Danio rerio: one gene and its partner. The protein of the gene in region 2 purifies or fractionates together with the protein of the main gene of each other region. This does not show direct contact. Links are inferred from orthologs where the notes say so. Each region holds a gene or a part of one and is shown on either strand. Other genes may lie near its edges.

What was found.
Region 1: the proteins of sh3pxd2aa (region 2) and fgd1 purify together in Homo sapiens (affinity purification with mass spectrometry; 3 studies listed by BioGRID and IntAct, with this or other methods). This does not show direct contact. The link is inferred for Danio rerio from reciprocal best matches to the Homo sapiens genes SH3PXD2A and FGD1.

The regions. Positions count from the first base shown.
Region 1 is NC_133183.1:9,283,354-9,291,287, reverse strand, and holds part of fgd1 (FYVE, RhoGEF and PH domain-containing protein 1), read right to left. Parts: intron 7,561-7,934; coding exon 7,348-7,560; intron 4,437-7,347; coding exon 4,247-4,436; intron 2,742-4,246; coding exon 2,057-2,741; intron 1-2,056. UniProt on the Homo sapiens protein: Activates CDC42, a member of the Ras-like family of Rho- and Rac proteins, by exchanging bound GDP for free GTP. Plays a role in regulating the actin cytoskeleton and cell shape.
Region 2 is NC_133176.1:50,955,053-50,962,986, reverse strand, and holds part of sh3pxd2aa (SH3 and PX domain-containing protein 2A), read right to left. Parts: intron 6,140-7,934; exon of another isoform or gene 5,935-6,139; intron 5,764-5,934; coding exon 5,635-5,763; intron 1-5,634. UniProt on the Homo sapiens protein: Adapter protein involved in invadopodia and podosome formation, extracellular matrix degradation and invasiveness of some cancer cells. Binds matrix metalloproteinases (ADAMs), NADPH oxidases (NOXs) and phosphoinositides.

The sequences.
Region 1 (7,934 bases), on a different chromosome or scaffold from region 2:
ATTCACACACACACTACAGACAATTTAGCCAACCCAATTCACCTGTACCACACGTCTTTGGATTGTGGGGGAAACCGGAGCACCCAGAGGAAACCCACGCGAAGGCAGGGAGAACATGCAAACTCCACACAGAAATGCCAATTGAGCCGAGGTTCAAACCAGCGACCCAGCGACCTTCTTGCTGTGAGGCGACAGCACTACCTACTGCGCCACTGCCTCGTCCAGGATGAAAACAGTTTCCATAATTTTAATTTATTTATAGATAAAGGTCTGTGGCTCTGCATATAATGACTTTAGCTTGCTGGAGTTTATGGCCGTTTCACTTTACTTCAATAGGCCTACAGAGCGGCATTGATGTGTCCTGGAGACATTCATAAATATTCCAAGCAAATCTAATAAATGTTGAACACATACTCACTACATAAACACGCTAAATTGCACTTTAGCAGTGTTTATTTGAGAGCGCACAAGAAGATCTGCGCTTGAGCAGCGTATATTTGAGGGGGAGTGCAAGAGGTTTTGTGCAGAGGAAATCGGCGCGCAAGCCAAAAGATTTGCATGCTCGTATTAAATAAATGCGATCTCGACTAATACTGCGCTCACAACATTTCTCCATTTGTCATTGAAATAACGGCATAGGTAATTGGTAGATTTAAGTAAAAGGTCTGCCGCCACAGCTGGAAAAAATCCTAGAGAAAACATTGCTGTTTTTCGTAGATTTAATTCAGGCAAACTTTAGCACACAACATTGCATAATCAAAAATTATATATCATTTTATGACATGCAAAATAGCATTTAAGACTTTTTAAATGCTTTTTAAGGGCCCTAAATTTTTCTTCATTGATTTATCAACTTTTTTTCAATTATTTTTTAGGGGTTTTCACCTTTATTCGATAGGACATTAGAGAGAATTGACAGGAAAGCATGAGGAGCAGAGAGAGGGGAAAAAAATCTGCATAGGACCACGAGGTGGAATCGAACTCAGGTCACCACGAGCACCGGAGTGCATGTGTTGACTCACTAACCACTGTACCACTGGCGCTGACTGATTTACCAACTTTTAATACTTTTTAACTTTTATCAACTTATAATACCTTATAATGTAGATGTTGGACTGAAGCAGCTGACATTCATTTCCAATGAGGAAGTGCAGAGGGTTGCTGAAGAACTACTGAGATATTTCAGCTGCTGTCTAGTCTTTCTACACCTTTCTTTCTTCATGTGTTCAATACTTTTTCCCTGCGTCATTTCATTTTATTTAGCATAACTTAATTTGTAAATTAATTAGATTTGTTTTCTTTTCATATACAGATTGTTTTGGTTGTTATCAACCTCCGGTGAAAATTTCAAGTCAACAGCACCTTTAGAAATATGTTCTCTGAGAAAAATGCTGACTTCGAGAGTTCACACTTGGCTTATAATCAATAGAGCTGAATTGTCATGCTATCCCGGGAGAGAGCCCTGAACTCGTAATATCCTCGAGCCTGGGGCTCCCTCCCGTCAGAAGGGTCGAGAGGGGAGTTCGAGCTCAGGTGGGTCTCGAGAACTCCCCTGCTTGTCGCCGTGTGAGAAGTGTAAACTAAGTTTGTCCTGGGTGATAACTTGGTTTAGTTGATAGGCTATGGTGTATGTTTTTGGTCGGTGGGAGGAAACCGGGGAACCCGGGGGAAACCCACGCAAACATGGGGAGAGCATAGAAACTCCGCACAGAAACGCCAATCGGCCTGATGGGAGGTTGGACCAGCGGTGTTCTTGCTGTGAGGCAACAGTGCTAGCCAATGGGCCACCGTGTCGCCATATCGAAAAAAAAGGGTGGGAAGTAGGAGTGGAAGGGGGGAAGCTTCAAGACGAAGATAACCGGAGTGAAAAATTTTGGTTATTTATAATGCTCTATTATAGAGCAGATTACAGAGGTGCCAGCCGTGTTGATCATAAGCATGTGATCATCTCGAAATTATTTTATAAATAAACCACACATGTTCAACATTTACTTATTCCACTGTGAGTATAGCCATGTAGATATGGTATATGGCATTAACAAAGCACCCTTCTGACCTCAGTGGAGTCTTGTCGTTCAGCTTTGGGCAGAGGTTGTAGAGCCATGGGGTTCATCTCGCTCTCGTCTCCACTGCCCTCCTCCAGATCACTGTCTCCCTCTGAGTCTCTGCCAGCCTCCTCCCCGCCGGCCCCCTCTTCATCGGGACCCTCCACATAACTACATGAAATCCCTGGTCCTGGGCTACACGGACAAATCTCCCGCTCATGACCGACCCGATCCTCGTCCCCAACAAAGCAGAGCTCCTCGCTGTGTGAAGGCGAGCTGATGCTGTCGATTCCGCTGTCCCGATTGGCCAGCTTCCCGTCCATCTGCGCTGGGGGGAGGGACAATCGGTCAGAGGGGATTTCTGATTGGTTGGCTGTCATCTCCATGTTGTCCAGCAGTTTATCTGAAGCGCCGTAGCCTGATTCCATGGAAAGACGCTTATCTGAGCAGGACGCCCCAAGCTCGCTGTCATCTTCTTCAGTTTCGTCTACATCTTCTTCTTCTTCCTCCTCTTTTTCTTCTTTCTCAAGCTCGTCCTCTGCCAGCGGCGCCTCTAGAGGTTCCTGAAGGGATGTGCAGGGCAGGATAAACTCTGATGTTTGAGGACTAAGTGACCCAGGAGTGGCCTGCTGATCCGGGACCCGCGGGGTACACATCACGCCCCCAGTGATATCTGGCACCACAATTATCTGCTCCCTGAATATTAAACACAAAAAAAGCACAAATAAATATATTGTGGATGACTTCGCGAAACATTTTTTGATATGTGTATTTACAAATATCTAAAACACATGTAATAAACACATGTTTGTGCTGAATAAAATGTATTAAATAAACTCATTTTAATAAAATAAATATAAAAATAAATGTAAATAATATATATTTTTGTCACTGAAAACCTTTTTACACTAAACTATATTAAATAAGATTAAATTAATTTGCTTAAGACTTAAAAATAAATACAAACATATTAAAGAAATATGATATGAGATAAAGAATATAAATATAATGTAAATAAGAATGTAAGATTCATGCTAACAATAAGAAAAAAGTATTAATATCTGTATTAATATCTGCAATTCTACTTACTTTTTTGTTTTACCTTAAATTAAAAAATTTACTGAAACATTCCCAAAAAAAAGTCAAGATATCCCAGGACAAACTGCTCCTTCGATACATTTTGTTTTGCAAGAATTAAATAGCTCAAGTAACAAACGATTTACTAAATTTTATATCTATATAATAGTTATGCTTAAAAAAAAGAATGAATTTCTTATGCAACTGTACTCACATCTCCCTTTACCTTTAGTTAATCTATAGTTATATTGTCTGGAAAGTGTTAATATTTTATGCTTCTTAATTGTATCTTAATTTACCTTAAATTTAAAACAAAAGTAAATAAAAAATATATTATTATCATCATTATTATTATTAGCCATTTTATTACCAAAATAGCCATAATCTCTGAAAAAGTACAAAAAGTACATTTTGTTTAAATCACATTTAATATTTTGACTTGAACTATTCATTTTGATATGAATATATATTATAATTTTTTATGTTTTGATATAAATATCTGTATTTTATATAATATATTATTTATTTTATATATGTGATATATATTTTATATGATTATGCTTTTAAATTATATAATATAATATAATATAATATAATATAATATAATATAATATAATATAATATAATATAATATAATATGATATAATATAATATAATATAATAACTAAAACTAAAAAAATTTTCTTCAGCAAAATGAAAGATTTAGTCTCTTGTTTACATATATATATATATATATATATATATATATATATATATATATATATATATATATATATATATATATATATATATATATATAATAAATATTTTTAATATAATATTTTTTAATATTTTAATATATTACTGTAAACTTTATTGTCCCCTTTCGGGGTGATTTGTTCTGCAGCATAATAGATTTGCAACATATATATTATACCATACATTTAAGACAAACATTAAACAGCATTAGTACTACTAAAAACAGTGGCTACCTCTTCCCATTAAAATTCAGCAAATCAATCGCACATAAAACAAATGAAAATGAGCTTACCTATGATCAACAAACGGAGATATCATCACTCATGACTGACTGTAGTTATGAATAATAAACCGTACAGTAATGTCTGTTTGTGTTGCTTTCTCACCTCTCAAACTTCTCGATGAGCGAAAGGACACAAGTGGGGGAGGAGCTTCCCTCTGCCCTCGGCATGGTGGCACGTGATTGGCGGGGGTCGGCTGGCAGTGGGCGGGATGGTGGTGGCGGTGGGAGGGGCTTGTCTGGGGGGCGGGGCCGTCGAGCGTTCTGCTGCTGTAGATGAGGGGGTTTCGGGGGCACTGAACGAGACAAGATCAATACAGAAATCAATAAAGTGAGACTGGTGCACAATCACATGACCGCAACACAGAGAGACACACAGATATTAACTGGAACATCAGCAGAGACTGTACTTTTATGTATGCATCCTAATTGCATATTGTATTTTATATCACAATTAATTGGTTCATGAGGTCAATTTAAAATACAGATAATATTAAAATAATAATGACTTCTATGTAGATAGATAAAGGTTTTGTATATCCTTTATGTACATTACAAAACATGCACTACTATTGTTATAGTAATAAAAGTTCAAATCATTCACTCATTTTGGTTATTTAAAAAATATATTGATATTACATATATATTTATTTCATTAAATTACATTAAAATAACGAGAAAACAGAAAAAATGTATGCATTACTACATTTATTACGCTTGTTATGATCTGAAATGCTTATTTAAATCAGAAAAAAATTACTTATCATTGTACTCCACATTAAACTCCATTAAATTTGAAATACAGCAGTTCAGAATTGTAATACTCTCTCTGTTCCTTTTGTTCGCACTTAACTGGCTAAGAAGGCTTTAACGTATATTAATACTCTTCAGTCTAAGTAACAAAAATGGGTCTCTTTGGATAATTTTAAGTGAATTGCTCAGCAAACGGAGGGTGTTTCTATGATTTGTATTTTTTTTAGGTATTCTTAATGTTTGTCCTGTGAAGTCTGTAAAATCTTTTTTGTTCATTTTGGCCAGGACACTCCTGCTAAAGAGACTAATAATCTCAGAGAGTCTGTTTCGGTTAAATAAAGGGTAAACAAAATACAATTAACAATTCATATATTATTTTATAAAAACAAAGATATATACATATCTTTATATCTTATCTTTAAAAAAATAAAATATAAACATAAAAACAAGATAAGAAAAGTTAGAGTTAGATTGTTTAAATTAAAGGTATTTTATTTGAATTATATATTTTTATTTGATGAATTTCATTTAAAAATGTAGTTTAGTTGTCTTATTTAACAAAATATATTTTAATTTTACAAATAAACGTGCAGCATTTGAGAAATAAAAAAGGCCTCTATTCATTTCTAAATTGTCAGCTAATTTTGTAAAAAAAAATATATATATATTGTGAGATCAGTATGGTAAATTGTATCAACTTGTTAGTTAGGCGAATCTTTACAGAGGGTGATGTTTAATTTTAGGTTAACTCTCCCTGCTAACTTCAACAGCAGTTTATGTTGATGTAAGACGTTAATTTTAGGTTCGATTTAGGTGGTGAAGTCGGGTGACCAAAATTCAATGTCTAGTCAGTGTATAATGACATTATTTTGTTGTCCAATAATGACATCAAATGATGTTGATAATTGGTTGATTTTAGGTTGCGTTGGACGACTGAAATTCAACGTTGAGCCAACATCTTAAACCAATGTCATATTGACATCAAATACTGAAAGTTGGTCGGCGCAGTAGCCTAGTGGTTACTGCAATGACATATAGTGCATAGTAGCACATCAGGGTGTCCCGAGTTTGAATCCTGGCTCGAGAACATTTCCCTACTTCAAATGCATTTTAGTCACGTGACCAGCTCAGCTAAAATGGTGGATGACATTGTACAGCACTTGTTTTGGATGTTCTCTATTTGACAGCATTGTTAAAGATTAATTTCACTCTGTACATGCTCAAAATTTCTTTTCTTCAAAAGACAATGTTTACTTAGAGCTTACTTGTTTTGGCATGTCTCTCAGTCTAATGTCTCTCATGCTTCTGCAACTTTTATACTCCTGTGTTACTCACAGAAACAGCTCCATCGCACTGTTAATCCAATTTAAAAAAACAAAACTTTTCCTCATCATATTGCTGCAACATTTCCAAGAGCTGAAAAGTTAATGAACACCTTATCGCATACTCAGTACAGCCACTGTGTTTTCAGTCATTTCAGTATGGATGATCAACTTTTGGGAAATTATTAAAAACGTGAAAGTGAAATTACTTGCTTCAAAGAGACTTTGACGATAGTAATAGTTTGATTGTGGTGTTTCATGTCTGTACTGCACTTTAATAATGCGACTAAAATCGACATACTCCACATGCCTTAACTCGATTTCTGTTTAGTTCGATTGTGGCTTTAGTTGGATTAAATTAATCAAAAATCGCTGTTTACATGGTAGACTCTTAATCAGAGTATTGTCTTGATAGTATTAATATCGGATTATTCAGACATCCTCTGGTTCCAGGAATCTCCCGCTAATACATAGAGACTCCCGGATGCTCACAAACAAATGATAATCTCCCGGATATAATTATAATGATAATCGCACATCTCACACCTGGTCCTCAAATACTTTGCCAACCCCTCTCTGCCGCACCCCCCACCCCTCTCTGTGCAACCCCTCCGCTCTTCAGATACGTCCCCTTCAGATACGTCAACCTCCTGGAAATCATTGCTTTCTCCCCCAGAAATGACTTTTCGTAACTTGGGGTGTCTGGACTATTGGTGTCCATGTAAATGTACTTAGTGCTTTATTGTTTTCAGTATTAAGGAACAGCAAGAAAATAATCAAATGTAGAATAACCCTCGATCAAGACTGGATCAAAAAATCAAAGTCGTCCTAAAACTATTCAACATTACCAATTCTTACTTTGATGCAGTTTTTTCTTCAACTTCAAATGTTGACTACCGATTTCATTATGTAAATAATTACAATTAATTGTCTTTGAAGCAACAAACTTGCCCCTATGGTTTAAATTATAATCCCAACTCAACATTGCTGTTTTGCAATGACATTGCAATGTAACTATTGTAGATTCGCACACTGCAATATCGATGCTGAAACTATTTATATTGTGTAGCCCTAGAAAAAACATCTCGTTTTTGGCTACATCACTGTGTAAACATAGCCTTAGAGAACCCACCTTGAGGCTTTGGCCCAGGTAAAGGTGGCCGTGTTTTGGGAGGTGGAGGTGGGACGTCCTGAGGGCCGTTCTCACTTGTGCCATTGCAGTGCTGCGGTTCCAAGGGTCCGGGGTCAGAGCAGAGGCGCTGTGGGGTCTCGTGGGCTCCGAGGCAGGGGCCTGGATCAAGGGACAGACTCTTGGTTAGGAGCCGCGGACTGGATGAAGATGAGCCTGACAGACAGAGAGAGTGATTTGTAGAATCTCAATAAATGCCCGATGGTCTGGCACAACCAATGAAGTTATTGGTTTCCTTTGAGCAGGATTGGGCCAAAATAAGGCTTGCTTTGCTTAGTTTGAGTTTAAAATACACCACTCTCTCTTTCATAGTCAGAGTTTTGTGATATAATAGATGAGTATAAATGATACCGTGAGCTCAAATCAAGATTGAAATGTGAATTAAACTGGCTTTGACAAGAAAATAAAACAATTACTTAAAAGCGATGCAAGTCATTTTAAAAGACAGACCAACATTGATGATTCACAAAACTTTTTACAACCATGATTACAGCTTTTTTTTTCTCAGAAACAACACATAACAATCCCTC
Region 2 (7,934 bases):
TATTTAGGTACCCTCGTATCAGTGCGATATGGCTGTATATCAGCACTGGTTGGAGGCAGGCCTTCTTAATATCAACAATATCATTTCAGTGACCTTATTTGATTAAACAATACTGACCCCTAAAAATTGTAGAACCATGCGAAGCCCTTTGGTTCATGATCAGCTAAGTCTCTACAGACCTGATCTCTAACGGGAGGGAGGCCAAGACAAACCAGCCTACCTGGGACCATGAGCAGCTCTCTATTGATTCAGTTTCAGTAAGTGGGGGTGACCGGCTGAACGAATGGACCCAGGGGAGAGAGAAGCCAGAGGATGGGAGGAAACCTCATAATATTGATGGCACAGAGCAATTTTCATAGTAGGGCATAGTCTACTGCAGCGCGTTGAAGAAGAGTGGAATATGAAATAATGAACGTTTCTTTAGAATAATCCCCAATCATATGTTTAAAATTCCAGATCTAAGCATTGCTCTTTTTAGACAGTATTTTGGACAGAAATACAGCGCACTTCTAGCTGTATTTGTGCTCGTTTGAACCTTGTTCAGTTCGGAGTTGTTCACAGAATTCATTACATCGAAGCAAAACTAAAAAAAAAAGTTTCTTTAACAGCAGATGACAGTTGTTGTAGATGCTCTATGTCAACATACTCACATTTTAAACCTGCGCTAAATTGAATTCCTTCTGCTCTTCTTTTTTGACACCTTCTGTCACTTTTCCAATTGATCAACTAAAAGTCAAGTTCTTATTTGTTGCTCTTACTACTGGGATTAAGGACAAGCCTTTTGTCAGGTAGTGTACTGTTAGTATCTGCTTAATAATAAAGGTAGAAATACAGTTCACTGAAAACAAAAATAATTTGATGGACGGCTAATCTGTGTTTTAGAGCCTAAAAGTGTATTTACAGTAACTTAAACTATATAATCAAAAATGGAAGAAACAAAACAACTCGTGGACCAACAGCAGCATCTGAAGCAGATATCCGACAACATGTCAGAAGATTGCCATGTCAGGTTTACCCTCACTGGAATCAAATGCTACTGACCTCCGACCAGTTCCACTAATAATTCTTGTATTTATTTTGTTATATGGAAGAGTTGCCTAAAATAATGCTAAAAAAACAGCAGGCTGATTTATAAACTCTTGACTGTGCTATCTATATTACAGACATGCAACAAAAACTTTTGAACGCTTTCTGCTAGTATTGGTTTGGGATTCGTGACACTGTAAACGCTCTGTAAGACTCTGCTGGATCCATTAGCCTGTAATGAAACTAAGGACAAGGGGGATTTTTCCATCGTTTCCTCTCCATGACCTAGAGAGGGAAGCCAGAGCAGCCCTATTTCTGCCAATCACTTCTTATAAAGGCAGCTTTGCCACATTAAAAAGTTGGTTTGAATGATATCCAATGGTAAAAAATACACTCTGAACGGCACTTGAATTGTCATTTAATACTATAGTACAAAATATGGAAATCTGTTTAAGAGATTGGATGTTGGAGGAAGGGCAACTTGTGTCAAGATATCAAGCTGATGCTGCACATCTTCAGTTTCAATAAACGCTTTGAACATCTGATGAATTCTGGAGTCAACGAAGGACAGACAGTTCACTCCAGGAGTTGGCTTATAGGCTGCAGATTTAAAGCGACGGTTCACTTAAAGGGATAGTTCACCCCAAAATAAACATTTCACTATCATTTACTCACCATCCGCTTGTTTCAAAGCTGGTTGAGTGTCTCTTCTGTTGAACACAAAGGAAGATATACTAACGAATGTCAATTGACTTCAATGGTATTTTTTGTTCCTACAATGGCTGTTTTCTCCCAACATTCTTCAGAAAATTTTGTTTTGTTCTCAACAGAAGAAATAAATTCATAAAGGTTTAGAACAACTTGAGTAAATGTTCAATTTGGGTGAACTATCCTTTTAAAAATAACAATTCAGTCACCATTTGACTCTCAACAGCTCAAACATGCATTCTTGCAGATGATTCTGTGTTTATATTCTGTTCGTTTCTCTCATTTAGACTCTCTCTGCTTCTGTTTCCAACTCATTAATCCTGTGGCCTTGCGTGGTACATCTTTTCTCGACTCAAGCAAAGTTGTCATGCTTTGCCTGCACTGTAAAACAGCTGGAGTTTAACTGTGGCCAAGGAAGCCAAGAGTTTTTTACTCAAGGACATCCACATCCTGAGGAAGAATCTCTTTTGTTATTATTAAAGAGGAGCTATTATGCTCTTTTTACAAGACAAAATATAAGTGCCCCCATAATGTTTCTATAAATGTCAGCTAAAAATGCTCCACAGATTTTAGTAAACTATTTTTGTAGATGGGCTATTTTAAGTGGAAGCAAGACATGCTGTTTCTATGTGTGTCTCTTTAAATGCCAATCCAGGATCATTATTGATATGTACCCATGTATACATTTCTGGAGAACACGAAATACCTCCCAGGAGGTACGTTTTTGCAGTCTGTTTTTTCGCAAATCCACCAGAGGCTGCTGTGTACGCTTTTGCAGATCTCAAATTTCTCTCGCAAGTGCCATTCATCCCTGTTGTTCTTGCCTGAATCCACCAAAGGTCGCTGACAACTGACTGACTGACTGACTGACTGACTGACTGACTGACTGATTCCCGCCAAATCCCCTTTCCCTAAACCCGACTGATAGTGTTTTCAAAAGCATTGATTAACCCACCCACAGCCTTCCCTAAACCCAACCGATATTGTTTTCAAAAGCATTGATTAACCCGCCCACAGCCTTCCCTAAACCTAATAGATAGTGTTTTCAAAAGCACATATTAATCCGCCTGTTGTGTAAGTTGAATATTAGACCACTCACAGGAGAAGATAACTGCATTTTTCATCCTCACCCTTATTTTTTAGGGGTCCGCTGAACATTAGCTCTGCTTGCTGTTGAAACTTGCGCCATGACTCGGGCAGGTTATTAGCCTCCCAGTTCATAATCGGCATCGGGACTCCTGCTGAATCCATCTTCGTTTGTCATCCGTTTATTCTGACACCATGTTGTGTCAGTTGAATATTAGACCACTCACAGGCTGGCTGTAACAACGTATGTTTTTTTTAATATCAACTTAACTCAGAACATAGCGCTTTCTTAGCGCTTTCTTACAGCATCGCATGCGTTCCCTTGTTTCCTATTCTCTCTATCATTTCCTTGAGGAACTTGACTGACACTCATTCTAGCCAATAGGAACATGGAATGTCCTGCTTATATAACATCATTGGCTTAGAGTTAAACACAAACATTACACCGCCCACCGCCTTTTCTAAACCCAACAGACAGTGTTTTCAAAAGCAATCCAGAAAGGAAAAGCCTTAGCCTGATTTTTACCACATTTTCAGATTTTACCACATTCTTTCTCTGTTATTTACTAGTTTATTTAATGTTTTGTCTTTTGTTTTTGTTTTGCCTGCTTTCTGGAACCGTTCTCACTGGACTCAAACCACATTGTTGTGGTCAACTCCTCTCTGCGTCTCAAGTCCACTTATGCGTAAGGCGAGCCACTGGGCAAACTGGTAACAGCAGAATAGCCATCTACACCGAGGTAAGTGGTCAGCCGGTAGCGTGAAAAGAAACAGAAGCTGTTTATGGTTCCATACCGCCCTGTATCGTTCGTTTTAAAGACGAAATGCAGCCATACGTTGCTCTGGCTACATAATTCGTGCTCTCCAGAAATGTATATGGGAATACGTTTTCACAATGAGCCTGTGTTGATAAATGTAAATGAACTGCTACAAAAGAAGGTGGAGCCTTTACAGTGCATATTCAGACGTTACCAAACATTGGTTTGGTTTTGATTTATCACTTCTGTGTCATGTGAAATTCGTCAGTTTCGTCAAATTCGTCAACCTCATCAGTTTAAACTCCTGTTGCATGGTTTTCTGTCTACACTAGATGTGGCATACTGACAAAAATGACAAACTATTTACAGTGGGCATCTTTCACATTCAGTATAGCTAATATTTGCTGGTATGTTTAAATAAAATAAAGAAAAAAAACACTTAGCAGCAAACAAACTTCCAATATCAATGTCTCATATTGAACACCTATTAAGATTGGTTTAGACATATGCTGCGTAAGAAACCGCCTATTCAGTTGGTGCTGCATTTGAATTTAAACGTACTACTCGGCAGTTAGAAAAGTACATTCTACACAGTATGAATGTGAAAGGTATGAATGGAATACTACATCCGCTATTTTGTCATGGTCACATGACCTACCTGTATCAGTTGTGTTGCTTCAGTCCCATTCATGAATTCTCTTGCGGGGCATCATGGGATAGCGCAGCGTGCATGGAATGCGCACTTCAGAATCTTGCCGGAAGTAGTAAGTCATCCGGGTATTTCTTCTCGCATACTGATTTTCGAACTCTATGAATTCGGACAAACGACTCGGCTCACATACTGATTTTAGCGTACTGTATAGTATGAAAGTATTTGGTTTCGAATGCAGCCATAGTCTAGACTAGTTTAGACAGATGGTTATGTTATGATAGATGATACCAGAAGGTCAAGCTCTATTATCAGTGAGTTCCAATGGGGTTACTGGATATTTACTCATCTTGATAACTCCTGACAACTCCTACTAATCCTCCCCACCCTCTTCCTCATGATTTCAAGATAATATAATGACTTCCATTATCTCACACTAACATTTGTATACACTTTCAACAGTAGGATGCTAGTTCTTGAAAGCCTATCATTGCTAGCCCTCTGGATGAGCAATCCTACTTTCAAGAGTTCAGCAAGCGTGACAAGAAACAAAGTTCATAACCTCAGTAGAGTCAATGTTCAACTTCTACTATGCAAGGCTACGAGATATGTTAACATAAAAGGTTTGCACATAGTTTGAACATTTACAGCATTAGCAAGATCATTGATCTGGGAAAACAGAAACCAAAGGCAAAAAAAACAACACTCAAGGCTAAATTAACTTGTTGTTGTTAATCTTCACAATGGTGACTCTTATCCATTAGCACATGTTTCAACCCACAAACTTCTCATGCCTATCTCATGGACATTCCACATCAATCTGGCCTCCATTCCAGAGGTGAGGAGGGGGTTCTGTCTGACCAACCGCCAACAAAACTGGCCATACGACACCTCCAGGTGGAGCCAGACAGTAGATTTACATTGTGAGGGGGGGGGGGGGGGGGGGGGTGTCAGAAGAGAGAATCAAGGGATCTTAAGGACAAAGACCAAAGGAAAAGCTATAGATCAAAGAAGAAGTGCACTCTCAGATATAAAGGTACACAATCTGTCACTGGGGACATTTTTGTTCCTTACAAGTCCTTAAAGGTACATGTTAATATTTACAAAGTACAAATGTGATACTTTAAAGGTACAAAGTGAGCCTTTAAGGTGCACAAGTATACCCTAAAGGTACTAATGTCCACCTGTATGGTACAAAAGTGTACCTTTTGATAAGGTACCACCCTGGTGACAGACCTTGTACCTTATTTCTGAGTGTGTGTGCATCAGAACAGCGTCTGAAAGCATTCATGTGTGCAGGCGACTCTGAATGCTTGTGGTTTGTGTATACACGAGCTTTCGCCAATAAACACCACGTGGTAAGCCAATTAGCTCCTGTGTTTGTGTGTGTGTGTGTAAGGGACTCACCGCTTTCGCTCTTCTCAATGACGTCCACCGTTTCTCCAGCCTTCAGACTGATCTCCGAGTTTTCCTGCCTCTCGTAGTTGGCCACCACCACGTACTGCTCCAGCACCATGGGCTCACTGCTGTCCAGTCCTGCCGGCGAGGGGAAGAAACAAGCTGTCAGCCACCGTCCCGCGCTCCCCCTGCCAACCCTGCCCTGCCAGCGACCCGTGGCTTGACCCCGGTACACCGCCATCCGCACTCCGCAACCTAGCGTAACTCAGACTCCTGCATGCTCTGCAAAGACAGGCCATTTAGACGAACCTTCGCCCTCGCTGGACGTGCATTTGAATGGGGGAAACGGACAATTGCAAAAAAGCAAAACGAGGTAAAGATCCTTCAGGGACTCGAGCGCTCGGTAGGCTCTTGGTGATGCCGGGTCTCCATAATACAGTGAAGGTTTTCAGGAGGAAATGGGGAGGAAGGGAAAAAAGAGAGCTGTTTACTGTAGGGGACGTGACTCGTGAGTGGAGGGATAGAAAGTTTTTCTTCAACAGGAGAGCAAGAACAGGCCTCCCTCCCTCTTTCTCCTGCCCTCCCTTTCTCTTTTTTCACTTGAATTCTCTCTCTTACTCTGTCCCTCCTCCCATCTGGTTGAGAGAGAGAGAGAGAGAGAGAGAGAGAGAAACGCCAATCAGGGTAGACTGCTCTCCAAGCCTTAAATAGAAACATATGAGTGGGCCGAGTAAAGAGAGAGAAGCTGTGTTTATGCGAAACGCAAGAAGAAAGCATTTCAGCTGAGGTTAAGCCACACTCTCTCTTTCTCTGTCCTTCTGTCTTTCTTTTTGTGGTTCCTCTGATTATCTCATTAACCTGCTCTTCTTTAATAGTGACATAAAGAGTGTCGAGGTAAAAATGAAAGTTCTTTAGTGTTTTACAAGTTATATAAGACTATATTTGTATACATGTGTTTATGCGAGGTTTTTTTGTCTTTGCATATGTTTAAGATGAGGACCAGGGCTTTGAAACCTCAAAATGATGATACATCGACCGGCCAATTTATTAGGTACACCTTACTACAGTAGGACCGATTTGGACCCCCTTTTGCCTTCAGAACTGCCTTAATCTTTTGTGGCATAGGTTCAAGAAGGTACTAGAAATATTCCTCAGAGATTTTGTTCCATATTGACATGATCGCTTGACGCAGTTGCTGCAGATTTGTCGGCTGCTCAACCATGATGTGAATTTCCTGTTGCACCACATCAAAAGGTGCTCTATTGGATTGAGATCTGGTGCCTATGAAGGCCATTTGAGTACAGTGAACATATTGCCATGTTCAAAAAAACAGTCTGAGATGATTCACGCTTTATAACATGGGGCACTATTCTGCTGGAAGTAGCCAGCAGAAAATGGGTACACTGTGGTCATAAAGGGATGGACATGGTCAGCAACAATACTTAGGTAGGCTGTGGCGTTGACATGATGCTCAGTTGGTACTAATGGGCCCAAAGTGTGCCAAGAAAATACCCCCACACCATTTAACTACCACCATCAGACTAAACCTTTAATACAAGGCAGGATGGACCCATTTTTTAATGTTGTTAATGCCATATTCTGACCTTACCATCTGAATGTCGCAGCAGATATCGAGACTGAACAGACCAGGCAACATTTTTACAATCTTCTGTTGTCCAATTTTGGGTCAGCCTGTGCAAACTGTAGCCTCAGTCTCCTGTTCTTTGCTGACAAGAGAGGCACCCTGAGTGGTCTTCTGCTGCTGTTGTGTGTTCAGCAATTCTCTTCTGCACACCTCGGTTGTAACAAGTGGTTATTTGAGTCACTGTTGCCTTTCTATCAGCTCAAACCAGTCTGGCCATTCTCCTCTGACCTCTGGTATCAAGGCATACCAGAGGCATAACAAGGCATTTGCACCAACAGAACTTCTACTCACTGGATATTTTTTCTTTTTCGTACCATTCTCTGTAAACTCTAGAGATGGTTGTGCGTAAATAATCCCAGTAGATCAGCAGTTTCTGAAATACTCAGACCAGCCTATCTGGCACTAACAACCATGCCACGTTCAAAGTCACTTAAATCACCTTTCTTCCCCATTCTGATGCTCGGTTTAAACTGCAGCAGATCATCTTGACCTTGTCTACACCCCTAAATGCATTTAGTTGCTGTCATGTGATTGGCTGATTAGAAATTTGCATTGATGAGCAGTTGGACTGGTATACCTAATAAAGTGGCCGGTGAGTGTATAGTATATTATGGAATGTTTTTGCACAATTTTCATAATTTAATTTTTGAAATATTTTTAGATA